Linked DNA regions of Caenorhabditis elegans. The protein of the gene in region 1 interacts with the protein of each later gene in a pairwise test. Each region holds a gene or a part of one and is shown in the gene's direction. Other genes may lie near its edges. The genes, in order: ubc-1, asp-6, hum-6 and mdf-1.

Evidence for each region.
Region 2: the proteins of ubc-1 (region 1) and asp-6 interact in a two-hybrid assay, tested with the Caenorhabditis elegans proteins (2 studies listed by BioGRID).
Region 3: the proteins of ubc-1 (region 1) and hum-6 interact in a two-hybrid assay, tested with the Caenorhabditis elegans proteins (2 studies listed by BioGRID).
Region 4: the proteins of ubc-1 (region 1) and mdf-1 interact in a two-hybrid assay, tested with the Caenorhabditis elegans proteins (2 studies listed by BioGRID).

The regions. Positions count from the first base shown.
Region 1 is NC_003282.8:4,099,332-4,107,710, forward strand, and holds ubc-1 (Ubiquitin-conjugating enzyme E2 1), read left to right. Parts: upstream 1-3,688; 5' UTR 3,689-3,704; coding exon 3,705-3,755; intron 3,756-4,668; coding exon 4,669-5,058; intron 5,059-5,713; coding exon 5,714-5,851; 3' UTR 5,852-6,932; downstream 6,933-8,379. Other genes in the region: C35B1.2 (SWIM-type domain-containing protein), read left to right, coding at 1,604-1,777, 2,033-2,094, 2,529-2,676, 3,490-3,564. UniProt on the Caenorhabditis elegans protein: Catalyzes the covalent attachment of ubiquitin to other proteins.
Region 2 is NC_003283.11:8,265,889-8,272,431, reverse strand, and holds asp-6 (Aspartic protease 6), read left to right. Parts: upstream 1-3,494; 5' UTR 3,495-3,496; coding exon 3,497-3,804; intron 3,805-3,849; coding exon 3,850-3,979; intron 3,980-4,086; coding exon 4,087-4,818; 3' UTR 4,819-4,921; downstream 4,922-6,543. Other genes in the region: asp-5 (Peptidase A1 domain-containing protein), read right to left, coding at 1-45; asp-12 (Peptidase A1 domain-containing protein), read right to left, coding at 424-705, 782-1,159, 1,212-1,425, 1,474-1,787. UniProt on the Caenorhabditis elegans protein: Aspartic protease.
Region 3 is NC_003284.9:2,299,642-2,307,624, forward strand, and holds the start of hum-6 (Unconventional myosin heavy chain 6), read left to right. Parts: upstream 1-3,440; 5' UTR 3,441-3,479; coding exon 3,480-3,497; intron 3,498-3,553; coding exon 3,554-3,664; intron 3,665-3,851; coding exon 3,852-3,998; intron 3,999-4,045; coding exon 4,046-4,230; intron 4,231-4,764; coding exon 4,765-4,979; intron 4,980-5,022; coding exon 5,023-5,186; intron 5,187-5,231; coding exon 5,232-5,641; intron 5,642-5,686; coding exon 5,687-5,852; intron 5,853-5,901; coding exon 5,902-6,921; intron 6,922-6,964; coding exon 6,965-7,087; intron 7,088-7,983. UniProt on the Caenorhabditis elegans protein: Myosins are actin-based motor molecules with ATPase activity. Unconventional myosins serve in intracellular movements. Their highly divergent tails are presumed to bind to membranous compartments, which would be moved relative to actin filaments.
Region 4 is NC_003283.11:9,539,660-9,547,446, reverse strand, and holds mdf-1 (uncharacterized protein), read left to right. Parts: upstream 1-3,220; 5' UTR 3,221-3,222; coding exon 3,223-3,427; intron 3,428-3,477; coding exon 3,478-4,038; intron 4,039-4,093; coding exon 4,094-4,362; intron 4,363-4,411; coding exon 4,412-5,286; intron 5,287-5,372; coding exon 5,373-5,502; 3' UTR 5,503-5,665; downstream 5,666-7,787. Other genes in the region: his-37 (Histone H4), read right to left, coding at 1-143, 218-313; C50F4.6 (Cold-shock protein), read right to left, coding at 701-898, 951-1,031; his-41 (putative histone H2B 3), read right to left, coding at 1,283-1,519, 1,734-1,868; his-35 (Histone H2A), read left to right, coding at 2,164-2,313, 2,446-2,679; C50F4.16 (Uridine diphosphate glucose pyrophosphatase NUDT14), read left to right, coding at 5,841-6,036, 6,085-6,554, 6,649-6,786, 6,840-6,948, 6,994-7,091, 7,141-7,482; C50F4.12 (Transcription termination factor 3, mitochondrial), read left to right, coding at 7,712-7,787.

The DNA.
Region 1 (8,379 bases):
GGCGCGTGTACCTCAAAAACGGTTGGTCCAGTTTTTTTGTGATGCATATAAAAAATGTCCGAAATTAAATTCTAAATTTTTTGGACCAAAGCTTTTTTCGTTATCACGCGCCCAAACCTGGTCTACACTCAAATTATCAGTAGAGCGCATTTGCATGGATGTACCACTTGCCGGGCCGTGTTCCAAATTGGTATATCGCTCAGTGTTTGCGTACTCCTGGAGCTACAGTAACCAGGAAAATTTTGAAAATCGAGCTGTGAACTTCTTTTCTTTTCTTCGGCTAAAGAATCGAGTATATCCACACAATTTTTCATTAAAAATCTGGAAATTTCGTAAAATTTGGTGTTTGGTCCGCAATCACTGTTTGCGTACTCTTGGAGCTACAGTAACCCGAGAAATTGAACGGAGATTCCCAATGTGAAGAAAAACTCGAGAATTTCGATTTTTAGGTCGAAAATTTGAAATTTTCAACTTAAAATCTATTTTAATATAGTTTTTGACGTGTTCCGCATTCCTCACCTTATTTTTTTTCCAATTTTTCTTTTAATATTTACCGATTTTTCAATAAAAACAATAACATCTGCTGCTGCTTCATCTTCAGAACTTTACACTTTTTTCTTCCTTCCGAATCATCTCTCACCGCTGCCAGTTGCTGTTTTGTGTATCACGTGAACAAGTCATGGTGTTTTTTGTTTTTGACCTGAAAAATATTTTGGGAAAAAAATGGAAGAAAATAACGAGTTTTCTCTCTCTTTAAAATCTATTTTTCTGCCTTTTTTCCCAACTTTTTTCCTAGAAAATCGAATTTTCAACTCAAAATTGGAATCTCTGTTCGATTTTGGCAATTTAACGGAAACTAGAAGTTGCTAGCTTCATTTTCGAAAAATTTCCGGTTACTGTAGCTCCAAGAGTACGCAAACATCGAGTGGTTGTGGGAAAAACACCAAATTCACGAAAATTCGAGATTTTGAGCTGAAAATTAGCCCTATGTCTAATCAAACAGTGCTGAACCCGAATTCCGTGACAAAAATTATCGGAAAATTGTATTGGGAGCATTTTCCTTAATTTTTAGCCATAGTATTGCTAAAAATTGGATTTTAAAAACTAGAGGCTCCTAGCTCAATTTTGAGATTATTCAGGTTACTGTAGCTCCAAGAGTACGCAAACACCGTGTAGTTGCAGACCACACACCAAATTTCACGAATATTCGAGATTTTGAGCTGAAAATTAACTCGTAAACTATTTAAACTATACTGAATCTGAATTTTCAACTGAAAATTTGGAAAAATGTGATTTCACAGCTTTTCCGCCGAAAAATCTCTGACAAGTTAACTTCAAATCAGCATTTTCGAATTTTCGACTGCAAATTCAGATTTTCCCTTCAATTTCGAAGTTTTTGACGGAAACTAGAAGTCGCTAGCTTGATTTTCAAATTTCTCGGGTTACTGTAGCTCCAAGAGTACGCAAACACCGAGTGATTGCAGACCACACACCAAATTTCACGAATATTCGAGATTTTGAGCTGAAAATTAACTCGTAAACTATTTAAACTATACTGAATCCGAATTTTCAACTGAAAATTCCAAAAATCAATATTTTCCAGATAATCTGCCGCCGTTACAATGGCCAAAAGTACAGCCAGTCGTTTGGATTTGTGCGGAAAATTTATTTGCTCAAAATTTTGCCACTATGCCCGCCAGAAGTCGCTGAGCAACTTCATAATCGAGATTTGGCAGTAATATCGTATTCCTACAGAAATGCTCCGCATCCGACGTTTGTGAGTGGAGGAAATCTGGAAAATTTGCGAAATTTCGAAGGATAAGTAGAAAAAACACTGAAAAATTGACCCAAATTCTGCAATTTTCAAGATTTTCCATGAAAAAATGTCTTCAAATTGAGAAAATTTGTGTTTTTCCATAAAAAAAACCGCGAAATTTCAATTTTACATCAAAAATCGAAAAAATTATCCAAATTCTGCTCAGAAAAGCCAATTTTCGAAGCTTTTCCATCAAAAAACTGTAAAAATTTGCAGATTGAGCAACCGGATAGGCAGAAGCTTCCAGATGGTCAACGTGTTGGTGAAGAAGTTGAATTGTTAGTTTTTTTTTTTTTTTGAAAATTTGAATTTTCAGGAAAAATGTGGATTTTTTGAGGTTAAAATTCTGAAAATTAAAATTCCGAAAAAAAAACTTCGGAAAAGTTCAGAAAAATTAATTAAAAAGAAAAAAATCCGGAAAAAATGTCTAAAATTTTTGAAAAATGAATTTACACAAAAATCTGAAAAAAAAATCACTTTAAAGAAATTTTTAATGCCAAAAAGTTTCAGAAAAATATCAAAAATTAAAACAAAATCTGTAAATTATTTAAGAAGTAATGAGTTTTCCAAAAAATTAAGAAAATAGTTTTTTTTTCTGAAATATTTAAATTAATTTTTAGGGATTTTTCAAAAATCTCAAATTTTCTATAAAATCCATAAAAATTCCCAAAAACTTCTCTCTAAGAAATCTATCAATTTCAAAATTTTTCAGAGTTTCCGGAGATGTGATGTTCGACGATGATATTAGTCCAGAAATGCGAGAAATGGTTGAAAATATGGAAAGAAAAAAGAAAATTAATTCGGAAAGATTAATGGAATTACTACAAAGAATACATCGAATTGATCAAATTTGTAAAAAAGTACGGATTTTTTTAGTCGAAATTGATTTTTTTATAGCTGATAATTAAGTAAATCAGAATTTTTACCTTAAAATCGTGAAAAAAATTGAGCCTAAGTTGAATATTTTGTACTGAAAAATTGGAAAATTTCGGCTTTAAATTTGAATTTTTCTGAAAAATATTATAAAATTTGCATTTTTCCAGAAAAATTGGACTTTTTTACTCAAAATTTTGATTTTTTGAAAGTTTTCAGTTAATCATTTCGAATTTTCCGGAAAACCTAAAATTCCAGTTTAAACTCAAAATTTTCACCGAAAACTTCAAATTTTTCAAATTTACCAAAAAATTGACATTTTCAGTGAGAAAATTGAAATTCCAAAAAAAAAAAAAAGATAAAAATCAAAAATTCACCGAAAATTTGAATTTTACTGAGAATTTCACGTTTTTTTGTAAAATTTTAAATTTTTGGAAAATTGATTTTTTTTTAGAAATTTTTAAATTAAAATTTAGAAATTTCCACTAAAAAAATCAAATTTCATTAAAAATTCATTAAAATTTTTTTTTTCACTAAAAAAGTTCGATTTGAACCAAAATTTTCTAATTTTCAGTTAGAAAATCGAATTTCAATGAAAAATTCCAAAAAATTCAAATTTTCAAAGAAAAATTTGACATTTTTGGCAATTTTCCAGCATTTTCATTTAACATAAACTGAATTTTTTACGAAACATTTTCGAAAGTTTCCAATTTTTACGGAAATTATATTCCAAATTTGCACTAAAATACGAATTTTTTTGGGAAATTCCAATTTTCTACCTAATTTTTCGATTTTTGCAGGAAGCTTGGCTGGAATCGTCGGCAGAAGTTCAACAACTCACACAAATTGCTCAACTTTTGCATTATTGTCAATAAATGTTAAAAAATATTTTCTTTAATTTTTTGATTTTTTAAAGGTTGCCGTACCTTTTTTCATACTTGTTCTAGCATTTTTCTGCATTTTTTCGAATTTTTAACCTAATTTTCACATTTTTTGCAGGAGTTAGGTTATCAATATGACGACGCCCAGCCGTAGACGTTTGATGAGAGATTTTAAGAAACTTCAGGTGAGTTTTGAAATTTTTGGCCCGAAAATTTGGCTTTCTTTGAACATTAGAGAACATTTGCAACAAAAATTGGTTTTTTCCAGAAAAAATTAGATATTTTTGGGATTTTTGATAAATTTCTCGTGAAATTTTTAAAATTAAAATTGCCAAAAAATCGCCGAAAATATCCATAAAAACGGCCGAAAATGTCCAAAAAATCGCCGAAAATTTCCAAAAAAAAATCGCCGAGAATTTTCCAAAAAAATTGCCGAATTTTCCAAAAATTCGTCGAAATTCTCCGAAAAATCGCCTAAAATTTCAAAAATATCGCTTAAAATTACCAAAAAATCATCGAAAGTTTCCAAAAAACGGTCGAAAAGCACAAAAAAAATGCCCAAAATTTCCGAAAAATCGTCGAAAATATCCAAAAGATTGCTCAAAATTACCAAAAAAAAAAAAAAAATTACCAAAAAAAATCGTCGAAATTACTGAAAAATCGCTCAAAATTTCCAAAAAATCATCGAAAGTTCCCAAAAAATCGCCAAAATTATCAAAAAATCGCCTCCAAAAAAATTGCCGAATTTTCCAAAAATTCGTCGAAATTCTCCGAAAAATCGCCTAAAATTTCAAAAATATCGCTCAAAATTACCAAAAAATCATCGAAAGTTTCCAAAAAACGGCCGAAAAACACAAAAAAATTGCCCAAAATTTCCGAAAAATCGTCGAAAATTACCAAAAAATCGTCGAAATTACCAAAAAAAAAATCACTTAAAATTACCAAAAAACGGCTCAAAATCATTAAAAGATTGCTCAAAATTTCCAAAAAAAATCGCTCAAAATTCCTAAAAAACTGAAAATTTTCCAAAAGAAAGGTTTCTTTTAATTTCCAAAAAAAATCGCTCTAAATCCCCAAAAAAACGACCAAATCTTTCAGGAAGATCCACCAGCAGGAGTATCAGGTGCACCAACAGAAGATAATATTCTCACATGGGAAGCAATAATTTTTGGACCACAAGAAACCCCGTTTGAAGATGGAACATTCAAATTATCACTGGAATTTACTGAAGAATATCCAAATAAACCGCCAACCGTCAAATTTATTTCCAAAATGTTCCATCCAAATGTGTATGCGGACGGATCAATTTGTCTGGATATTCTACAGAATCGATGGTCTCCGACGTATGATGTTGCCGCAATTCTGACATCGATTCAGTCGTTGCTCGACGAGCCCAATCCAAATTCACCGGCCAACTCACTTGCCGCACAGCTTTATCAAGAAAATCGACGGGAATATGAGAAACGTGTTCAGCAGATTGTTGAGCAGGTACACAACCCTGAATTTTGGATGAAAATCGGCGAAATTAGAGCTCAAATATTGAAAATTTGGCAGTTTTTGACCCGAAATCGAGAAATTTCACCCCAAAAATTGAAATTTGGCTGAAAATCGATAACATTTAAGTTGAAATACGAAAATTCTTAAATTTTCATCTAATGTATGCAAAATTTGGCTTTTTGTGGTTCAAAATCGTAAAATTTTACCCTAAATGTGGAAATTTAGCTGAAAATCGATGAAAATTGAGTTAAAATTAAAAAATTTTGGAATTTTTATGCCAAAACTGAAATTTTGAGAAAAATTAAACGTTTGGCTGAAATTCGGCTGAAAATAGGCGAAATTTTTTGCGAAATATGAAAAATCTGAATTTTTATGCCAAAATTGAGATTTTTTTTGCGAAAAATTGCTGAATTTTGGCTGAAAATGGCTGACATTTCAAGCAAAAATAATTTTTTTTTTTTTGAATTTTGCAAAAAAGAACCGAAATTTGAGGCTAAAAATTAAAAATTAGAAATTTTTGGCTTAGGTTCAGGCTTAGGCTTGGGCTTAGTCATTGGCCTGGACTTAAGCTAGGCCTAGAAGCCTAGGCTTCGACGAAGCTGAAAAAACACAAAAAAAGTTCCAAAAATTCTATAATTTTTTCCAGTCCTGGCTCAATTTCGGCGAAAACGAGGGCGACGCAGTGCTCAAGGATGACGTGGAAATTGAAGAAATTGCTGCTCCAGGAGCAAATGATGCAGACGATGACCGTATGGATGAAGGAGCCAGTGGATCGAATGCTTAAATTTTCAGGAATTTTTCTGAAATTTTTCTACCCCCAAAAATCATCTGAAATCAAAAGCTTTTCCCATCATCCCCGTAAAAGAAATTTCGAAAAAAAATCAATTTTTTTTTTTTGAAATTTTTGAATTTCCCCCCACATTTTTCTCTCAACACAATCGATCCCTTTGAAAATTTTTTCTTCTCGTTTATTCATTTTTTTTGTATTTTTTCCGGAACACTTTAAGATACGGTAGTTTTTTTTTGTATATATTTATACACCCCAGTCATCTCTCTCTCTCTCTCTCTCTCTCTCTCTCTGTCTTTTGTTGTTTACATAGATGAGGATTTTTTCCCGGTGAAAATTGGCTGAAAATCGGAAATTTTTGACCTTAAAAACTGAAAAAATTGTGAAATTTCAAGAAAAAATCACGATTTTTGACTGAAAAACAGCTAAATTTTGCGGATTTTCGGCCTTTTTTAGTGAAAAATGGCTAAAAATTGATATTTTTAGACCCAAAATTTGTGAAAATCTGAAAATTTCGACCAAATAGCTGAAAAATTTGTGAATTTTCGAAAAAATCATTTGGCATTTTTTAAGTCAAATTTTCACTATGTTTTTGTATGAAAATTCTGAAATTTTGAATTTCGATATTCCAACAAAATTTTCAGAGTTTTTAAGTTTTTTTTTGCTGAAAATCGCCATTTTTATACTCGAAATTTAATTGTGAAAATCGGAAAATTTTAGCCAAAAAATTATAAAAGTTGGAATTCTAACTCAGCTAACTTTCAAATTTTTGTCTGAAAATTCAATGTTTTTTTTTCGTCAAAAATCACCAAAATATTGCTCCTTTTTTGGCTGGAAATTCGAATTTTTCACTTTTTCCCCCAATTTTCATCATTTGCAAAAAATCCTCTTTTTTTTTCGTTTTCCCACGTTTATTAATTGATTTTTTTCGGATTTTATTGATTGATTTCCAACCATAATTGTCTTTTTTTTCTTCAAATGGCACCTTTTTTCTCTCTGTCTCTATGTCTCTGTGTCTGTCCCATCCCAATTCGTCAATTTTTCGACGTAAAAATGAATAAAAAATTTTGATGGCAAACTTTTTTTTGGAAAAGTTGCATTTTTTCCAAAAAAATTTGAATTCTCACAAAATTTTGTGCTCCAAAATCCGAAATTTGGAGCTTACAAGCCTACACAGGGGTCCAGAGCTTTAAAAATTCAAAAATTCAAAGGTTTTTGATTTTGGATTACGGAAATAAGACGTAAATTTCTGTTTTCACCAACATAATGGGACAGTAGTCCCCATAATCTAGTGGGTACTTCAAAAAAAGGTCCAAAAACTCGAAAATTGTAAGTTTTTAACATTTCCAACAAGTTTTTCTTACCAAAAACTTAAAATAAAAATAGTCTGCAGCTAGCGGGAATCGAACCCGCGGCCTTCTGCACCCCAACCAACTCTCTTACCGACTGAGCCACCGCGACACTCATTTTTCGAAAGTTTCTCAAATTTTCCACAAAATAGTTCAATCGACGCAGAATTTCACGCTGATCATTTTTGTAGTTGACAACTTTTTCCAAGCTTTCACCGTTCAATAGTTATGAGGGTTTAAAGTTTAGTGTGAGAAAGGGGGAGACGCAGACAACGAGACAGTCTGGGTCTCTCTCTCTCTCGTAGGTTCAAACTTTGAAGGCGCTTAACTCTGAAACTAGATTAGCTATCAAAAAACTCCCAACTATAAAAGTATCTAATATTTTAAGCTGAACAGCTTTGCAGTTAGCAAGTTTTTGATAGCTCTAACGAATTTCGAGTTTTCCACCAAAACCCATGTTTTCCCCCGACTGCAAAAACGCGCGCGAGTACGAATTCATTACTCCGATATATTCTCATAGTCCAAGAAAAATATTTGCTCATTTGTTTTCCGACGTGTTCCATCTTAAGAAAATCACATTGTTCTCGTATACGAGAGCAGGAGGTCGAATACAAAAAATAAAACGAGCGGCCAGGGGGAGAGTGACAACAACACAACCGTCGTGTATTTAAGAGGTAATCTGAAATTTTTTCAGATGCTGGAAATTTAATTATGTGAAGTTTTTAGTTTTAGTTCTAGTGTTTTGTAAAATTTTTCCGCTTATAACTTCAAAACCAGCGGAGCTATCAAAAAGTTTCTCATTACAAAATTATTCAGCTAAACGTTCTACACATTTCTATAGTTAAAAATTTTCTGATAGCAAGCCTAGTTGCAGAGTTACACGCTTTCAAAGCTTGGGCTTACGAGAGAGATAGAGGCTGAGAGAGACGCAGACTGTCTCGTTGTCTGCGTCTCTCCCTTCTCTCAAGCCAAACTTTAAACCCTTATAACTATTTAACGGTGAAAGCTAGAAAAAAGTTGTCAATTGCAAAAATTTTCACCGTAAAATTCTGCGTCGATTGAAGCATTTTTTGAAAAATTTGAGACACGGTGGCGCAATCGGTAACAGGGTTATCTATGGCGCAAAAGGTCGCGGGTTCAACTCCCGGTAGGTGCAGAGATTTTTCATGTTCAGTT
Region 2 (6,543 bases), on another chromosome or scaffold:
GCACAGGCCCAAAAGGGCAACTAGTGCTACGAAAGTGGTCTTCATACCTGGAAAAATGGTCGTGAAAGTTAACATTAAATTATAAATAGTAGGAAAAGCTGACAAAACACAGAAAAAAGGTAATACGAATGAAACAGCTCAGTCTATGAAATAGATAAGAATAAGGAGAATTCGTACTACAAGTTAACAAATTCCTATTTTATTTGAGTTGACAATGATTTCTTATCATTTATACTCAATCAGATAACGGTCTGTGACGTGGGTTTTCACTTCACAAAATTGTCCAGAAAATGAAAAAAGAAATAAGGTGTACATGACGATATGTATAAGTTGGACTTTTGACCATAATCACGTAGATCACACACTGAAGAAAAGTAAATTGAAGTATTCATTTTCATTTCTCACAATCGCATTGCATAGAGTTTATTTTGAAGAAGGCTGGAGAGACTTGGCAAAACCAATGCGCTGTTGTCCGATGTCATAGATGTTGCAGTATTGACGGATGAAAGGATCTCCGAAAATCCATGATGGTCCGAATCCTCCGAAATCGAATGAGAAAGCAGCAAAGACACAAGTGTCACCCATTCCAACATCAAGGATATAGTTGACAGGTTCAATAGAATACACATTTCCTCCGATAGTAATGTCCAAAGTTCCCTTAGATGTTGAGCATGGGAGGTAGTAAGCATCATCATCGCTGTGGTACTGGAAAAGGTTTAGATATAAAGATTAAAAAAACTGTTTGTCCCTCACAACGAGTCAAAATTAAACTGATACTCACTTTTGCTCCCAAAGCTTGAGCGAAGCCATTTATCACAGCACTTGGTCCTCCGATGAGCGAACTTCCAGTGTCGGAAATCACTTGAGATTTCTTATTGTTTGAGTATGATCCGAGCTTAAATCCATCAGCAACAAACTGATAATACGTGGCAGATGAAAGTGGTTGATAGGCAATCACTGGTCCGCAGTTGGTAGTGTCAACGGCTCCGTAGGTGAAGACACCTCCTCCAACATTCTTTGCCGTTCCCTTATGTTCTAAAAAGACTGTGAACAGAGGTTGATCGAGAATTTTCTTGTTGATGGCGTTGATCAGTGGTGGGGTAACTCCGTCGACTGCAAGAGATGTGAAGGCAAGCCCGAGAATTCCTTCAGCAGCGTCCTGAAAGTTTCGTTCCGATGAAGAATCAAATAATCTGGGAAATAGATCTTACATTCTTAAAGTTAGACGAAATGTGAGAGGCAATACCGAAAGTGGTAGATGGGACAAGAAGTTGTTGTTCTGAAGCACCACCAAAAGCAACAGTATCTACTCCCATGATTCCCTTAGCGCTTCCAGATTCGTATTGAATTTGCCATGATTGTCCGTTTTTCTTGAATGTTGTAGATTTAGATGAGTCAAACTCGCTCTTTCCTTTGCATGTTCCACTGAAAATGATAAAAATTTAAAAACCATTGTGTAAGGTGGCTACTGACTCGCAGTTACTTCCTGGAACCCAGAGATTCGCAGAACCAGTATCCAAGACGACAATAAACTGTTGTGGAGGAGTTCCAATCGTGATATTTCCTAGGTATTCAACATCTCCAAAATCATTGACATTTTGTGGAGCACTGGCGAACACAGCTGGATTGGCGTCACGTAGGGCAGCCTTGTGTTGAACGTATGCTCCCCATTCTCCTCGCCTCATCATTTGCATCTTTGGCGATTCCCGATAGATCAATTTATGCTGAACCACAGTTGCCGAGCACATGCCAAGAATGGCTACAAAAGCGAGAAGAGTTGTCTTCATTTCTGAAAAGATTTATTGAATATTTCGATGTTTTCAGTGCGTGTTGTGTTTTGAAATAAAAGAGGTTTCATTAATTTTGGTTGAAATCATGTTTGTTTCTTGATTCTACTAGTTTTTCAACGAACAACTGTTTGAAATACAATATCATTTAGGTTGACTTTTGTGCGAGACTGTGTGAATGCCCGGTACGATAAAAAGTTCAGTAGTCCTATTATGCTTGAAATATGGGTATTTGAAAGTGTAATACAAGTATTCAAGAACTAAAATGGTTCTTTCTTCCTAAAATTTATGCGTTTAAGATTAAATACCATAGAAACCTAATATTTTTCGTTCTTCAGCTCATAACTTTGCAAACTAGAATGTCCGTGCAAAGTTTGGAAACTTTGGCCATTATTCTTTCAATCTGACGCAAGAACTCTCACTTTCTTGATCTGATGCGATAAATTATTGATAATAAATCAGAATACGTATCTAGATTCGTAAGAAGCTTATCTAGAAAAGTTCCGGCTCATAGTCAACATGCCTGGCTATTGGGCACGTGATGATCAAGATGTTTGTACTGTCACAGGTTGAGAAGTAAAACAGCGGAAATGATTGAGGAAAACGTTTGATTTAAAGAAATGTCAATAAAGCTATCATGTTGACTGCCAAAATAATACAGAGCCGGAAAAAAAACTGCAGAAAATAGTGATGTCATTTGGGTACACTTGCAAAACAAGCGTACAGTATTAATTGGATTTCCAATTCAAAAGGGTGAACTGTAAAACTTGAAACCATGCCTAGCTTTCTCTGCAATCCACCAAAAATTTTATATTTGGGGTCTTTAGGAAGATAGGCTGAAAATTCATCCTTAACTATTCCCTGGCAAGTTTTCTGGCAAAAAGTTTATCTACATATAAATATGGAGTTTTGCAAAAAAAAATGCTGTGGAACAATTGGAAATGGACATAATTTTCAAATAAAATTCAAATAATGGGCACTATTGTAACTATTTTACTAACTGTGAAGTAAGATGAGATAGAAAGTGCCGTTAAGAACCTTCCAACTCAAAAAGTTTATTCAATTCAAAAACTGTATAATGTTGAAAACTATAATACAGAGCAAATTGAATTGTTGGAAAATCTTACAGTGATGCCTTAAATAAGGCTCTCGTCATTCATTATATCATCCTTTGGACTCTGTCTGTTCAAGTTTTAGCCATGCTCAAACTGTATACTTTCCTATCGCTTACGTAATTCATCACGTATTACTCCGGATTTAGCCAGTAAACCTACGTGTGTACCTGGTATTGACCTATCAGCACTTGACTCAAATGTCATCCATCTCCGGGTACCGTTCACGGAACTTTACGCACTTTTGATTCAGTTAATACTCGAGTTTTATTAGCTCATAAAAGCTGTTTCGTCAGTTTTCAGTCGTTACTTCCAGAAGCCGGAATCATCGGCACTACTCTCTTCACTAAACTTCATTTTTTAGTGATAAGAATCGCACCGATCGGGTACAAACCAAATAAGAAGGCGGTTCTTATCAACCAATTAAACTTACGTCAGTGCGCCCATGAGTTTTCTCAACAAGTATAAAACATAGCACTATCTGACATTTTCTACTTCAATTTTTGCTCTTGAAATTGAAAATTATTTCACTCGTTTATCTACACTTTCAATTTCATTTCCATTTAGAATATTTTTCTGAAATATTTATTTTCAGGTATGAAGACCTTCATCCTTCTGGCCGTTCTTGGCCTTGCATCGGCTTCAGTCCATCAACACAAGATCGTATGGAGGGAATCCAAGAAGATGGGAATGATCCGTACTGGACAATATCCAGCTTACCTTGAATACCAGAGAAATCTCAGAGCTGTGTCCCCAAATGTTCTTGCTAATCTCCCACAAAATGTCAATGACTTTGGAGATTTCGAGTACCTCGGAAACATCACCATCGGAACCCCAGATCAAGGATTCATCGTTGTTTTGGATACCGGATCCTCTAACCTCTGGATTCCAGGACCAACCTGCAAGTGAGTAGATTTCAGTTCTGAAATATTTAAAAAGATTATTTGAAGGACCAACTGCAAGACCAAGAGCAAGTTCGATTCCACTGCCTCCAGCACCTTCGTTAAGAACGGAAAGTCCTGGACCATCCAATACGGATCAGGAGATGCCGCCGGAATCCTCGGACAAGATACCGTTAGAGTAAGTTTATCTTCAATGCATTAATGTGTGCGTTGTGTAATCTTGATATAAATTAGCTGGCAAAGTGAATTTTACAAAAAATCAGTCCTTATCAAATTGATTTTCAGTTCGGAGCTAAGGGAGACTCCCAATTGTCTGTTCCAACCACCACCTTCGGAATTGCCAGCAAGATTTCCGCTGACTTCAAGAATGACGCCACCGACGGAATTCTCGGACTTGCTTTCACCTCCCTTGCCGTCGACGGAGTTGTCCCACCACTCATCAACGCCATCAACCAAGGAATCCTTGACCAGCCACTCTTCTCAGTCTGGCTTGAGCACAGAGGAGCCGCCAACAATGTTGGAGGAGGAGTCTTCACCTACGGAGCCATTGACACCACCAACTGCGGAGCCCTTGTTGCCTACCAACCACTTTCCTCTGCCACCTACTATCAATTCAAGGCTGCCGGATTCAAACTCGGATCATACTCAAACACCAAGACCGTTGATGTTATCTCTGACACCGGAACTTCCTTCCTCGGAGGACCACAATCTGTTGTTGACGGACTCGCCAAGGCCGCTGGAGCCACTTATGATGACTTTAACGAGGTCTACTTCATCGACTGCGCTGCCCAGCCAGGAACTCTTGATATTACCATTGGAACCAACACTTATTCCATCCAGCCAGTCAACTACATCGTTGATGCCGGAAACGGTCAATGCCTTTTCGCTGCCTTCCCATTCGATTTCGGAGGATTCGGACCATCATGGATTCTTGGAGATCCATTCATTCGTCAATACTGCAACATTTACGATATTGGAAACAAGAGAATGGGATTCGCTCCATCTCTCCAAAAGTAAATATATATTACTATTTATGTACTTATACTTTTTCAATAATAAAACAATTGAAACAACTAATATTTAAACAATTTTTCTGCAGAAATGAATTGCATTGAATTTTAATCACGATGTTTCATTCCTCTTATCAGTTTACTTGTGTTATCAGCGAAATTAACGAGTCCGCCGTTTGATGATGCAAGAAAATGAAAAAAAGCTTAAAACCAGAATTGAAAAGGGGGAAATTGATCACTTTTTGAAAAATGCGATCAATAATTTTAATTATAAGTTTATTTGTTTTTGTTTCTGGATTAGTACATCAAAGTAAAATATTATGGAAACCATCAAAAAGGATCGAGATGCTGAGAAGTGGAGAATGGGCAACATATAAGAAACATCTCGAGAGACAAAGAAACCGTAATCCTTGGCAGCTACAGAGTTTGCCACAGAATGTAAGTTTTTTTTAACGTATCCAAATTTTAAAATAATCTAAAACTTGTACTGATAACCTGTTCTATGCAAGTTTCACAATTTTTAAATAGAAACTAGCCAACTTTCAAAAATAACTTTTATTTGATATTTTTCTCATAAACACATACACTAATTTAGGTCAATGACTTTGCCGATTTTGAATATCTTGGAAACATCACTATTGGAACTCCTGATCAGAGCTTTATTGTTGTCCTTGACACAGGTTCCGCGAATCTTTGGATTCCAGGGACATCATGCAAGTAAGAATGAAATTTAAAAGTGAACTTTTACACTTAACTTTTAGAGCAAATTGTGAGTCGAAACACAAATTTGACAAGATATTGTGAAGGTATAATTTTTAAACAATTATTCTTACTTTCAATTAAAATTTTGTAGATTGGAGCGACCGGAGAAAATCAGTTAGCAATCCCAAAAACGACATTCGGAATTGCAAACCAAGTTTCAGCAGATTTAAAAAACGACGCCACCGATGGAATATTCGGTCTTGCATTCACTACATTGGCTGTTGATGGCGTAGTTCCACCACTTATCAATGCTATTAAACAAGGAATTCTTGATCAACCATTGTTCAGTGTATTCTTGGAACATAGAGGAACATTGACAAATGTTGGAGGAGGAGTGTTCACATATGGAGCAGTAGACACTACTAATTGTGAACCAGTGATTGGATATCAGCCATTGTCATCTGCCACTTATTTTCAGTTCAAGGCAAATCGATTCCGACTGGGAAAATATTTGAATGCAAAAGTTGTTGACGTGATTTCGGATACTGGAACTTCTTTCTTGGGTGGTCCCAGTGTAGTTATTAATGAAATTGCAAAGCAGGCTGGCGCTACCGTAAGTTTTTATCAGATAAAAACCTGATAAGATCTCATCTTATCTTCACCTTAATTTATAACTATGAATATTTTTTGTTTCGACTGAAATTTTATTTCATATTAACAGTAATGGAGTCGCTCGTTATAACTTCAACTTTTTTGAAGCCGGTTGTAAAACTAACTCTTCCCATTCAAAAACCAAATAAACATGTAAAATTAATTTCCACTCTAAAATGTTACAGTACTATATCCTTGGAGAAGCGTACGTAATCGATTGTGATGCTACTCCTGGACCACTTGAAGTTACAATTGGTGGCCATGATTATCAAATCGAACACTACAATTATATTGCGGATGTTGGCGATGGAACGTGTGTGATGGCTCTCTTCCCAATGGATTTTGGAGGTTTTGGACCTTCCTGGATTCTTGGAGACCC
Region 3 (7,983 bases), on another chromosome or scaffold:
AGAAAATTTCACTTAGTCTCGAGACTTCTTAATCTGGCAAACATATATAATAAGGACCATATCCGATTACCTATCCAATTACTCTTCCGACTACGAAAGCTTCAACTATACTCGCCAAACGACCACCCCCACCACAATTCCACTTCATGATCGATCATCTTGTTGCTTTTTGTCAAAATCCAGCGCCAGGGCCAAGTGCACAAAGCCGCGCACCGGTGGCGAAACAATGGATCGGCTAGGCTCTTCCACAGTCGTTGTGTCTTTTGGCCTCCGTAGTGTCCACTTATGGCGTTAAACAACTGTTTCGCTTATTCTGCATCTCCTCTTTTTTGCTGAACAATATTTGCTTCCTCCCACCTTCTCCGCTTCATCAATGTTTTTCTTATTTTCACTCCTAAAAACTCAAGTGGAGATAACACGTTTTTTGGAGTATCGTTATGTCATACCCCCTAGCCGTCTCGACATGGAATGCGGAAAAACGTTTTTTGAATTAATTTTTTTTCAAAACCATAATTTAGTCAAAAAGTTTTTGCTGAAATGTTGCATGCTGTATTCAATGATATTGCACGCAAAGTTTTTGATATACCGTATTTCTTCTATCAGTATGGTCTCCCTATTAGATTTGCACTTCCTATTAGTATTGCACTCCCTAACAGTCCTGCGTCTATTTTTTTGGTGCAAACCAGCCTCACTAATTTTAAGATTTTGACAACATTTTTTTGCCAGTTTTGCAACAATTTTTCACAAAATTTCTATGAAACTGAAGTTATTCATGAACATTTTTGTTGCAGCTATAAGTAAATTTTCTAAATTTCCAAATAAAACTGGAAATCTTTCAAGTACAAACTAGTAAGCCCCAGCTCAAAAAAATGATCTGAAAATTAGTATTGCAGCTATATTTCCAACAGAAAAAACGGTATTTATAGGTGTAGTAGCGGTGCCAAAATGGCCAAAGTCATAGTAAAACTTTTCAAAAAAAACGTTTGAAAAACTTTTATTGACAGTGGCAATTACAGAGTTTTTGTCAATTTTTGGGAAAAAAACTACAGCACTGTAACATGTTTCAATGCCTACAATATTTAAAATTAAAGTTTTGTATATTAATATTCGAAACGTATGTAGACCCCAAAACTCAACGGAATACTTTTCTATGATCGACGACTTCCAAAAAAGTGGCAAAAACTAACCTCACCTTGTGGCATAGCTTTTAGCAAAAACATTCTTGAAGTCTAATTAAAGCTTCTTTGCGAATCAAATGATCTCAGAACAAATTTTTGAACAAAAACCATAACGAACTCCTAAAGGGAAAAAATAGGATCTTTAAAAAATTTTGGATTAAAATTTTTACAAACTCAACACCGCAGCTATTTTTCATTTCATATCAATAAAACATTAATTTATATTATCCCCATAAGTTGTACTTGTCTAAAAAAAATCACGTTCTAATTTCCAATTTGGAGCATCTACTGTGACATTTCATATGAGTACGTTTGCCAAAAAATGTGTCTTAATTATATGTTGCTAATAATAAAGATGAATATTCTATAGTTGGGCAAATGATGCTTCAAGCTGATTTATGAAGTGCCGTGAGAGTATCTTCCCTATTCAATTGCATTCATCCAGTGATTTTCCCTCATTCACTCTTTTCTAACTATCACTTTCATTCGATCACATCTCCCCCCATCAAAAACTAATTCCATTATCATCCTCATTCCTTTCCTGATATCTGCTAAGAATGAGAAACATTACAAGAAGAATGCAATTTGCATCGAAACAAGTAGTTGGTGTAGTCATACATTTCCCGGTCTCATATAGGGATACTAGTTGTTAGGCCGCTGTTGCCCAAGCTTATCTCATTTCTTTGAGTGACCTCAATTTTGACTGTCCATCTATACATAAGAAATGCAAATATTTGTTGTTTATTTCAAAAAGCTCTCTCTCTGTGCTTTTGTTCCCCGTTCCAGCTGGGCTTGCTGTCGTGTATTTTTTTTTGTCAATTCATCGGGTTTTTTTAGTACAATTAACTGAAGCAATGGGGCTGATAAAATTTCAGCACTTCAGTTTTTTTTTTAATTTGACATATTGCAATGTGAATGTGATATCCCTTATTGTAATGAACTTTTGAAAATCTTAAAAATCTGAGTAATTAGAATTTTATGTAATCCTCTCTAAAGATGACCTCATTTATTTGGAAGGCGATAAAGAGAGAAAGAAAATGAGAAAATAGTATTGGCTAGCTAATTTGACCGAAGACAATTGCGGCCGGAGGAGCGGCTGTTAGAAACAGTGCGGAAGATGACGGAGAGATAGTCCGCGCATTTCGGATTAACCGTGGTCAAATATCACAGTGTTTCTCTCTCAAACCCCCCCCCCCCCCCCCCCCCCCCAAAAGTCGCTCGGACTCATCACTTGCAGACCCCGGGCCCCCTCTCTCTCCCCAGCCAATACATTTGTCAACAAATAAGAATGTGTAAAAGAGAAAGAAAATCCGAACACAGACGGCGAACGTCTTTATTCGGAAAACCTGCGGGTTTCTGTGTACTTTCGGCTTATTGAACCTATGCATATTTTGTGTATAAACTCGTGTTCATGACTGTTTTGAGTACATTTGCTCAGCTATGTAGCTCCCAACTTTTACTGAATACCATATGTTCTTTTTGTAGCGCTGTACTCATTTGAAGCGTTTCTTATCTTTCTTTCTATCTTGTTCAAGGTTTTGATTTAAATTTCAAATTTCATTTGCCTGCCGTTTTTATTACTTCTATATACATAGGTAATTCTTGACTTTTTTTGTGAATTTAATATCATACTAGTATAAGTAGAAGAAAACTTTTAGAGCATGATTATAATTTGTCTGAATTTTTTAGTTTTTTTTGCTTTGTTAGATTCAAAATGGCTCAAAAACAGACTTTCATAACAAAACTTTCCAATAAATGTTTTTAATAATTTTATGGCGGTTCAATACTTCAAAAATATTCACTTAAATGCATCTAAAATCTCCAGTTTCCCCAGCATTTTTGCTTCTCAGCAGCCGGAAATTGACACGGTAAATTTGCACAATTTTGAGATTTTAGCTAAAATTATGATGTTTTCTTGACTTCGAACCATTTTAAAAGTGGAGTGCCGAAATCTGAGACTTTGTTTTTTTAAACCTAAAACGACCCAAAACAACCGAGTTTCGTAATGAGACGTTTTGAAAATTTCTCAAAAAAAAATTACGGCTGTTCAAAGTTCTGCAAAAAAAGCTCATTTTCAGATAAAATCAAAAAAAAATTGTTGGGTCATTTTGGGTCTAAAAAGGCAAAGTCTCAGATTTCGGTACTCCGCCTTCAAGTATTTGAAAGCACACGTTTTTATTGGTTAATTTTTCTTTGAATCTTTGAAACTTGAATCGTTTTGAATTTTATAAAAGATATTCCTTAACGAAAATCAGTTTTTTCAGATAATCTGTGCTCCAATGACTTTGTAAATCAACAACAATGGTATTAGTAAGCAAGGTAACCATCCAATATTATTTGCTCAGCCGCTTGTATTACGTAGTATATTTTCTCAGGGTGACTTCATCTGGATTGAGCCCGGAAAAACAGAGGGATCGATTCCAATTGGAGCACGCGTCATCGACCAAGACCATGGACGTTTGAAAGTGATTGACGATCTTGGAAATGTACGTTTTGACACCACTGTTTTGAACATTTTTCACTGATACCGCAACATTGACCTCAATCCGTTTCCTACTTTCGCATCACTGCGGGCATCTCTTTAACATTAACATTTTATCACGCATTTGATAAGTTGCGCGGTGGTCGTGTTGCAATTTTTGTTGAGGGAGAGAATGTAAAAGTACAATTCAGGAACAATGGCTATCGGCGGATCGACGGGTCAGGCTGATGCATCCGACATCAGTTCAGGGTGTGGAAGACATGTGTCAGCTGGGCGATTTTCATGAGAGTGCGATTTTGAGAAATTTATTTATCAGATACAGAGAAAAACTTATTTATGTAAGCAATTAAAGAAATATCGCAAAAAGTTAGTTAGACAATTTTAGGCCTATACTGGTTCAATTTTGATAGCAGTAAATCCATATATGGACATTGCTATCTATACAGCTGATGAGATTCGGATGTACAAAAGGAAACGAATCGGAGAGCTTCCACCCCACATTTTTGCAATTGCTGATAATGCGTATACAAATATGAGGAGGGAAAAGAAAAATCAATCTGTCATTATCAGGTTCGTTTTTTAGACAAGGAGCATTTTTTCACAAAAATTATTTAAAAAAAAAACAGAAAAAGCCTCTCCAGTAGCATAACAATTAGAATTTTTACTTCGTAACTAAAATCTAAATTTTCTGAAAAATTGTCAAGTTTTCTTATTAAAAGTCCCAAGTTTTACTTTAAAATTTTCAAGTTTAACCAATAAAATTCTAATTTTTTCAGCCATTTTCCAACAATTTCCACCCAAAAAATATTTTCCATAAACTTTAGAACTTAAAACCTGAAGTATTTCCACTTGAAAACTCCGAAAACTCTCAGCCAATTTTTATCTTGAAAATTCTGAATTTTCTGCAATTTTCAGTTACTTTTCACGCCAAAATCACACTTTTACCATCTAAAAGCGCTCAAAATTTGAAAACATTGTTTTTTTTTACTTTTTAAAGCAAACACTCTCATCTTTAAACTAAACTACAACAACAAATTTTTTTTTGGAGTTCCAGACTACATAGTAAATAAAAAAACGAAAATTTTGAGCAATTTTCTTTTTCAGTGGCGAATCTGGTGCAGGAAAAACTGAATCCACAAAACTGGTCCTCCAGTTTTTGGCAACAATCAGTGGACAACACAGCTGGATCGAACAGCAAGTCCTAGAAGCAAATCCGGTTCTCGAAGCATTTGGTAATGCGAAGACCATCCGCAATGATAACTCGTCTCGATTTGGAAAATACATTGATGTACATTTTAACGAGAGTGGATCTATTGAAGGTTTGATTGACAAGTGGGAACATATTGAGATGTATTGTTTTAGGAGCGAAAATTGAACAATATTTGTTGGAGAAATCGAGAATTGTTACTCAATCAGAGAATGAGAGAAATTACCATATATTTTATTGTTTGTTGGCAGGACTGTCCAGAGAAGAAAAGTCGGAGCTAGAATTAGGAACAGCTGCTGATTATTATTATTTGATTCAAGTAAGCTTTATAAAGGTTGACTCGTCGACATCAATTGAACTTTAGGGAAAAACACTGACAGCAGAAGGCCGTGATGATGCTGCCGATTTGGCTGAAATCCGATCCGCAATGCGAGTTCTCATGATCAACGAGCAAGAAATTGGAAGTATCTTCAAACTTTTGGCATCTCTTCTTCATATTGGAAACATCAGATTCCGACAGAATACGAATGACAACATGGAATCAGTTGATGTAGCCGATCCATCAACTCTTGTCAGAATTGCAAAACTTTTGCAACTCCACGAGCAAAATCTTCTTGACGCAATTACTACTAAAAGCTTAGTAACGCGCGAAGAACGAGTGATCTCTAGATTGAATGGTCAACAAGCCGTCGATGCAAGAGATGCCCTTGCGAAGGCAATTTATGGAAAATTATTCATTCATATCGTTAGAAGAGTGAACGATGCAATTTACAAGTGAGTTAGGTTAGTTTAAAAAATATTTTGAAATTTATTTTTAAGACCGTCGCAGTCAAGAAGAACATCTATCGGAATTCTTGATATCTTTGGGTTTGAAAATTTTGAAAGTAATAGTTTTGAGCAACTTTGCATTAACTTTGCAAATGAGACATTACAACAATTCTTTGTTCACCATGTGTTTAAGATGGAGCAGAAGGAGTATGATGAGGTAGTTTTCATATTTCAATCTGAAAAATAAAATTTATTCAACATTGCAGGAGCACATTAACTGGCGTCACATAAAATTTGTCGATAATCAGGCTACAGTCGATTTGATTGCTCAGAGACCGTTGAATATTTTGTCTCTTATTGATGAGGAAAGTATTTTCCCAAAAGGAACTGATAAGACAATGCTGCTCAAACTTCATTCAACACATGGCAGAAACGAGCTCTATTTGCAGCCAAAATCTGAGCTTCAGAGAGCATTTGGAGTCACTCATTTTGCTGGAAATGTGTTTTACAACACACGAGGTTTCCTCGAAAAGAATCGAGATTCCTTTTCAGCCGACTTGTCCGTGCTCATTTCCTCATCAAAAATGCCATTCCTTGCTCGATTATTCGACGACATAGAATACGACACAAGCTCCAGAAAGAAGGTGACCGTCGGAAATCAATTCCGAAGATCGTTGGAGCAACTTATGTCCCAGTTGACTCAAACACATCCATTTTTCATCAGATGCATCAAGCCGAATGAGATGAAGAGAGCACTTGTGATGGATAGAGATCTTGTATTAAGACAGCTTCGCTATTCCGGAATGATGGAGACTATCAAAATCAGAAGGAGTGGTTATCCGATTCGTCATGACTACTATCCATTTGTCTTCCGTTATCGTGTCTTAGTTTCTTCCATCCAGGGACCAGTGAACAGGATCGATTTGCACGATGCAGCCAAAAAAATTTGCCACATGATTCTTGGAACAAATGCTGACTATCAACTTGGAAAAACTAAAGTCTTTCTGAAAGATAAACACGACTTGGTTCTGGAGCAAGAGTACTACCGCATATTGAAGGATAAGGCAATTGTTATTCAGAAAAATGTCAGGAGATGGTTAGTGAGAAAAGACTTTGAGAAGCAAAGACAAGCTGCTGTCACCATTCAAACTGCATGGAGAGGTTTTGACCAAAGGAAAAGATATCGTCAGATTATTTCCGGTTTCTCACGCCTTCAGGCTGTTTTGCGTTCGAGACAATTGGTGTCACATTATCAAACTCTACGAAAGACAATCATCCAATTTCAAGTTAGATAATAATCATAGGAACTTACACTATTGTCAATTTTAGGCTGTATGCCGCGGGTCTCTAGTACGTCGTCAGGTTGGAGAAAAGCGAAAACGAGGCGAGAAAGCACCACTCACAGAAGTTTCATCCACTGCTTCAGTTATTTCGGATTCACATGAGGAATTAGTGAGTTTAGGCAATTTATGTGAGGAGTATAGATTGTGGGTACATTGTATGAATTTTATGGAACCACGATATCATGAGAATGTCTACTTTTCTGGCGGCAAATATCACGTAGCGAAGGGACCTGCGTCTCTCTTCGCCACATGTTATCTTGCTGCCGCGGCCTGCAAATATTTTCGCGCCAGTAAAGAGGCATTCTCATGACCTCATGGTCCCGTAATATACTAAAACTAGTTCAAAATCCCAGTTTCATTAGGAAAATTCAGCTCTTTTTTTTTTGGAAATTTTGACCCACCATAAAACATTTTTCGAAATGTTTTGAGAAGTCCCATCACGAAGTTTGGTCGCTTTAAGAAAGTTTCAGTATAATTAAGCAAAATACCCACAATACCTACTCTAAGCCTTCCACGAGGGCGCTACTCTCGTACGCCTGTACCTAGGGGTGGCTATAGGTCGACCTATGTCGACCTGCGACCTAGAGGGTTAGGTCGCATCGCGACCTGCGACCTAGCGACCTAGGTCGCTTTGCGACCTGCGACCTTGCGACCTGCGACCTAGCGACCTGGGTCGCTTTGCGACCTGCGACCGAATTAAAAACGTAGAAAAAAAGCACAAAACAAAGCATTGATTTCTACAAATTCTACAATTCTACAAAAAAAATTGAAATTTAGAAAGTTAAAACATTTCGGGGGGAACGAAACCCATTAGTACCATAGTTTTCAAGTTGAAACAATTTTAGTCAGCAGCAAATCCGGCGGATGTCGGCTGTTCTAACTTTTTCGACAAGGTGTCTTATGGATAAGACATCGAAAACAATGTAAAATAAATGATTTGTAGCAATTTGTTAGTATACATATTCTGCAATCTTATGTAGTTTTCGAGTTATACAGATTTTGACA
Region 4 (7,787 bases), on another chromosome or scaffold:
TTTCTTTTGGCGTGCTCACAGTAAGTGACAGCATCACGAATGACATTTTCAAGGAAGACCTTCAGAACTCCACGAGTTTCCTCGTAGATAAGTCCAGAGATACGTTTGACTCCACCACGACGAGCGAGACGGCGAATTGCTGGCTGGAAAGTAAATATTGAAAATTAGATAAAATATTTTTAAGTTAAAAATATATATTTATTTTCAAAAAACTAACCTTTGTGATTCCCTGGATGTTGTCACGAAGAACTTTACGATGCCGTTTAGCACCTCCCTTTCCAAGTCCTTTTCCTCCCTTTCCACGTCCAGACATGATTAAAAGTTGTTAGAAAACGAAAGCGAATGAGTTGATAAAAACAGAATTGAACGTCACTCGTCGTCGTTCTTTTATACGCCAGCAGAAATGGGTGGAGTCAGATTGAACCACCCTGCGGGGACACATGTCAGAAAAGCGTCACAGAAACGAAAAATACGTCAAAAACTTGGTGGCGTGTTTGCGGATTCGATGACGCGGGAAAGGTTGTGCAGCAGAAATAACAGTCCTCCAAGGGTTTTCCTTGAAATTCGTAGTGTTCGGAAAGACGGTGAAGAATAAATATCATATTTTTGAGCAAAATGGTTTTATTGATGTAAAAATAAGAGATCTTGAAAATAAGAATCGGTTTGAGAATTTAGAAATTTTCGAAAACGAAGAACACAACTAAGTACTCTTCGAACTGGATGACTGCTGCTGCTCCTTATTCTGCTCCGAAGTTTGCTGCTCTTCGTCATCATCTGAACCTTCTGGAACATCTCCATACTTCTCCTTGGCCACCTTGTTGAACTCGGCATTTGTTGCTTGACGAAGAACTGCGAGAAGCTCTGGATCGAGATTCATTCCCTCTGGGAGACCTCCCATCTGAAAAGATATTTTGTTTAGGCTATTCTAAGTAAAATAAAATAGGTCTTACCTCCTTCAGCAAATCATCGAATTGCTTATTGGTCATCTCCAATTTCTTGTTTCCTTGGCTCTTCTTGGTGTTCTTTGGCATTTTTGCGCGTCGATTTGGTGTTGTGCAGACTGGTTGACTAATGAATGCCAACGTAGTGTATATTATATACCCATATGCGGTGGAGGGGCGGAGCGACAGATGTCTGAGGTCACTAACGCTCGCACATGTTTCCCAAAATCGAGTTTACTTTACCAATACCAATTTATTAGGTTTTTAGTATAAAACAGGAACATATGAATAAATACATTGGGGAATAGGAGTGTTAATGGGAGATCGTAATCATTAATAAATTATTTACTGGAAGTGTACTTGGTGACAGCCTTGGTTCCTTCTGAAACAGCATGCTTTGCAAGTTCTCCAGGAAGAATGAGACGGACAGCGGTTTGGATTTCGCGAGAAGAGATGGTGGATCTCTTGTTGTAGTGGGCCAGACGAGATGCTTCCGAAGCAATTCTCTCGAAGACATCGTTGACAAACGAATTCATGATCGACATAGCCTTGGATGACACACCGGTGTCTGGGTGAACCTGCAAATTATTTAATAATATTTTTGATTTGACAGAATAACTACTTAATATTATTTTGATTTCTATGATCCCCCAAGACTAATTTAAATGATTTTTAAATACCGGTATTATATCGTTGCAGTTCGTACTAAGTGGTACGTAGTTTTAACATACAACATGCTAATGGCTAAAACATTTTTTTATCATAACTTATTCGATTTGAATATATTCTCACCTGCTTTAAAACACGGTAGATGTAGACCGAGTAGGATTCCTTACGAGCATGCTTTCTTTTCTTTCCGTCTTTTGGCTTGCTGACGGTCTTAGCAGCCTTTTTGGCTCCTTTAGCTGATGGTTTTGGTGGGGCCATGATCGAATGAGACACGAAACGAAAATGCGAAACGAATCGATGTGTTTGGCGAGTGTTGTCTATGAGCGCTGCGAAGCGCTTTTATACTCGCCAGCGGTGGCCCCACCTCTCGCTGCCGCGGAACTAGACTCCGCCCACACCGAGAGAAATAGTTAAATAGAGAGGCGGGCGCGTGTGCGCATGCGTATTTTGCATCGATTTTCGTCGGCTTAGACCACTTTTCTGTTTCTCTTTCACCTCCAATTTGCTCATCTAGACTTCTAGTTCATTGTTATTCAACCTAATTTCAGCAAAGATGTCCGGACGTGGAAAGGGAGGAAAAGCTAAGACCGGTGGAAAGGCCAAGTCCCGTTCGTCGAGAGCTGGACTTCAATTCCCAGTTGGTCGTCTTCATCGTATTCTCCGTAAAGGAAACTACGCACAACGTGTTGGAGCAGGAGCACCGGTATGTAGAATTTTAGAGCTGCTGTGTTTTGTGCATTTCCTAGATTAAAAAATCGTTCAAACCTGAACTTGCTAGCATTTTCCAAATTATATCACTTTTGCTCTTGTACTTTTTAAAAACATAATGTTCCAGGTGTACCTCGCAGCAGTTCTGGAGTACCTCGCCGCCGAAGTTCTCGAGTTGGCTGGAAACGCTGCCCGTGACAACAAGAAAACCCGTATTGCACCAAGACATCTCCAACTCGCTGTCCGTAATGACGAGGAATTGAACAAACTGTTGGCTGGAGTCACCATCGCCCAAGGAGGAGTTCTTCCAAACATCCAAGCCGTGCTTCTCCCAAAGAAGACTGCAGGAGACAAAGAATAAGCAGTGTCACAGATGAATATTGCAACTAAAGATACTCCGCCCCGTTAATTTATATGTCATCTGAATGTATTGTTTACTCGGCTGAATTGTAAATGAAATAAATTCATATACTTTGCAGTTATCAGTAAATTATTTTTTAAAATGAAAATAAGAATTTGTTTTAAATACAATTTTTCCAGGTAAGAAACTTCCCAAAATTCGGATTTTTGAAAAAAAAACTATTCGCAAGATCATATTTTCCTATTTTTGCATGTTCTTGTGTCCGAACATGTTTCCGAATGACCAAATAATAATAAAAAATGAGGCTGAAGAATTGCTGGGAAAAGTGTGCGGCAGCATTGCATAATGCCGCGCCCTTGCAAGTGGGCGGGAAGACGTTATTTTTAAGATTTCTTCGCAGTTTGTTTGGTGACATTCGATAAACTGTTTTTGTGCGAATGGATTTGTTTGACTTCCCTTGATTGCATTAAACATATTATTAATCTCTATCTCAAAATTCGAATCGCTCACTGTAATACATTATGTAACTGATTTTTTTCAGACATGAATTACGATGAAGACATTGTCGATGAAGACGAATATGAAGAGTCGGAAGCTACAATGTTGTTCGCTGAAGAAATCAAAAAACAGTTCAAAAGAGAGTTTCCGTTGAAAGCAGAGACAGAAAAAAAGCTGAAGCAGGCAACATTTCGTCGACATGCGCCGGTGGAGGCCAGAAAAATCAATTTCGATATGACACTCTCACCTGGTAAATTAACTTAATCCATTTATTAAAAATGTTTAAAATATTTTATTTAGTGGCTCCAATCGAATTGGCAAGTGCAAAAAAAGAAAAAGAGTCGGCACAGCGTCAATTGGTAACACTCCGTGAAGATCACGAACGTATGAAACAAATGATGCAAACGAATCAAGCGAAGTTGGCTGAAAAAACCATTGATCTGGAGACGAATCGTGAGAAAATGTTGGAGCTGCAAGAGCAAGTCGAACTTCTGAAGCAAGAACGAGATGACACCATCGCAGAGTGTAATCGAAACGTTGATATTTGGACAGCATTCGGCAAAAAATACTACACTTGGTACTCAATGGCGAATACTCAGCTGGAATCTGTGAAATTGTACATAGACAACGACGGAAAGTTTGAAAACGACGAAGAAGTTACACGATTGAATGCAGTTCCAAGACAGATGTACAGGGCTCTTGAACAATTCGATTATGATGATGAAACAGTAGAAGAACTTGGTTCAGGAAGTCTGCTAGAATATGAAGGTGTTTCATTTGCTACCCGTAGACCACCATCTCCTGAAACGGAAAGAGAAATCGCTCGTGCTGATCAATCGGCTGCTAACTTTACTCTACCTCGTAAGTCCGGAATTTTCAAACTTTTGTTTGCAGGCAAATATATTCGTATTTTCAGAATCCAATTTCACACTTCTCGAGGATTCAAATAACACCATAATGCCAGAAGATCAAACAATGATGACTGATGGCTGCATTGCCAATCGATCACTTATTGATTACGAGAAAGATGAGAAAATTCAGCGATTACTACTGGAAAACAGTGTTCTCAAAGATCGTTTGAATGTCTCGAGTGGGCGTGCTGAAAGGTCGATGATTTTCGAAGAACGTAATCGTACTTTAGAGTTTGAGAAGAAAGCTCTCCATAAGCAGTTGGACAGCACATTTGTGAGTGAATAATTATTGTTAAACTAATTTCACGTTTAATTTATTTTAGAGTGAGATTGAAGCTATTCGGATTGGCCAAGCAGGGAACTTGTTCAATATAGACGAGAAAATTCCTTCGAGTTCAGACAATTCCGCTAAGCAACTGCAGCTCATTGACAGAATCACTCAGCTCATTACGAAGAACAATCAGCTCGAAAAAGATTTTGAAGCAGCTACTTCCAGAATGACGAAAGTTATGCGAGAAAGCACAGACTGTGCTCGTCGCAACGAACGACTTGAGGATGCTTTTTCGAGCGAGAGAGTCAGAAGCCAAGACCTTGAAAATGAGAAAAGCCGGCTCTCTGAACAGTTAGAGTTGAGCAACAATGAATTGGAGAAGGTCAAGAAACAGTTGGAAGAATCTCAATCTCAGCTCGATGAAGTTCTCAGCATGACTTTAACTGTCCCAGCTTCAGAACCGGCATCTTTACCTGCTCCAACCGATGCCGGAAATAGTACACAGATTTTCCATATGGCTTCTAATCCACTCCAAGATGCTCACAATGAATTCCAAGCGTCTGAAAGTAGGAAAAGAAAGTTGACAGATGCTCCAGCTGGTGATCAATGGAGAGAGCAAGAGTTTGCTGAATTGGAGAAGCGTCTTTACGACTGCGAAAGTGAGAAAAAAGTACTCGAAAGTAGTTACAATCTTCATAAGGAACTCTCGTCGAAGTTCCGGCAAGTTTGTATTGCTCTGACCGGTCTCCAAATCAAACTGAAAGATGCAGACGAAGGAATATGCACTGTACAAAGCGAATATGAAGGTGGTTCCGCTCAGCAGTTCGTGTTTAAGTATTTCTATGGAACTCCTCGCATCGATATGCTTGATGTCAGCTGTGAATCAACTACTGAAATGCTTCGAAAGTGGGAGCCACTTATGAAAAAGTTTGTTAATTTTCTGGTTACTTACTATTAGAAGTATAAATACTCCCCGTTGTTGTGAGGCATCTTCTTAAAATATGTTTTTTCAGGTACATTGGCGACCGAAATTCGATTCCGGCTTTCTTAGCAGCAATGACTCTTCAGCTGGAACAGGATCGAGATTTTGACGAGACGATGCATGAGAGAACACATACATTCAGTGTCTTACACGAGGACTAAATCATTGAGCTATCTAGATCTCAATTATTTTTCTTCAAAGGAGAAGCTGTTAAATACACTGTTACCTGAATATTTGATGTTTCATTCCATTTTATTTATTTATTTTTTAATCTAAAACGTGTAGTGATCAAAATTAATCACACAATGAACGTTATATTTTCTTTCCAATTCAATGTTTACTATGGTATATTGTTTCGTACAATCTAAAGTTTATCTGCTCGTATATAGGAGAAATACCATTATGAAAATAGGAAAATTGGTTTTTGAACATCCTGTATTTTTCTAAAACGAGTTTGAATGATACCGCAATTAAATGATATAAGAAAATATATTTTCAGATGACAGCGTCAAAAATTAGTGATGTCTCTTTTGTGACTGATTTTGTATCAAAATATCAGAAAGGAATGGAGATGTCTTACACATTGGATGGAAATTCACGTGTTAGTGAATTCAATCAAAAAATGAGCAGTGTATCCATTCTTCTATTTCATAGAGATTTAGAGCAATTTCTTCTAGTTCGTCAATTTCGACCAGGTTTCCAATTTTATTCTATTGAAATGTGAGCGTTAAGTTGTTTTTTAGCAATCTTCACCGCATCAATTTCAAATTCGCCGGAGAATCACGGTAAAGAATTTGATAAAATTGACTGGAGCAGCTATGATTCTGAAACTGGCTACACCATTGAACTTTGTGCTGGACTAATTGACAAGGAAGGATTATCTCCTAGAGAAATTGCATCAGAAGAAGTTGCTGAAGAATGTGGATATCGTGTGGATCCTGATGATCTAATTCATGTAATAACATTTGTTGTGGGTGCTCATCAATCTGGAAGTGCTCAACATTTATATTACGCGGAAATCGACGAATCCATGAAAATCAGCGAAGGAGGTGGAAATGTTCATGAGGGAGAAGTAATTACTAAAGTTTATTACCCTGTCAACGTTGCACGTGAAATTGCACGCCCTGCTATTGGAACACATGCAGAAGTGAAAGGACCTCCAGGCGTTCTTTTTGCTTTTCAATGGTGGTTTTTGGTTTTGGATCCAAAAAAGGTGAATAAAAGCATATTTTTATTTAACTTTTGAAGACTGGAAAAACCCTTCTTAAAAAACGTGTGTTTACGACAATCATTTAAAATTTTTACAGAAAGGGCTCATCGCAACTCCACCAACTGGATATCAATGGCAGCCGCACAATGTAAAAACCATTTCGAACGTAAAATTCAACACTGATTTTGACAAAAAGAAGTATGGTTATAATCCAAAGAGAATGATTTTCACAATTGTGAGTTGAAGTAAAGTTCTTAAATTATATGTATAAATGAGAATCTCTTGTAGAATGGAATAACCCGCAACTGGGATTTAGCCTTATGTCCAAACACAGCTACATGTATTCTTGTAGATATGGTGAAGAAAGAATTGATTTTCTTGCAGAAACTCCGTGCACGTAAGTAATTTTTAAATCGAACTTTAATGAAATGTAAGTTTACAGCGGTGTTTGTTGGAAAAAATCGTTTTTTGAAAGAAAACATTGGAAAGCCTCTGGATGAGATTGATTTCTCGAATTCCGATCCTAAAATTGCATACACTGTAAGTCTAGAATGCTGTATTTCCCACAATATTATATGTAATTTTCCAGCTTGAACTCGTTGTTAACCGTGTTCCGGATTTCGACGATCCTCGAAAATTCGCTCGAATCTCAGTGAAGCAACTTGGCTACGATCTTCCAGAAGATTCGTTTAAACTCCAAGCAAAGTGTATTCCGGGAATCGGTCAATCTGGAGACACCCAATCTATTTTTGCCGTGGATGTTAGTAAAGCACGACTTTGTGAGAAGGAAGAAGATGAAGACATTGAAGAACTTCGTGTTTCTTTTGCGGATTTGCCGTCTCTGTACCGACAACACAATATAGGACCACCAACTACTTACTATGCCATTGGATTTGCTCTTGATCAGCTTCTCGAGAGAGACACGCTGTAAATCGAATACATTCCTGCTTTTCTATATTTAAAAACATTTCCCATCGAATTGTACATAGACCTATCTAGACCGGTGTCTTATACGCATCCTGTTTAATGAATAATAAATTATTTTATCATGCAGAATGTGAGATTTCTAGAGACTTCGTGTGTAGAAACCACTATCTACCTTTTTTGAGTGTCAGAGATATCCTTGGACAGGACATTTTAAACATTTTTAAATGCAGACAATGACAGTACCAGCATCGATTGTTCGTTTTATGGGTACTACAGCAATTATTGGATTTCGGCAACAAACGAGAGGCA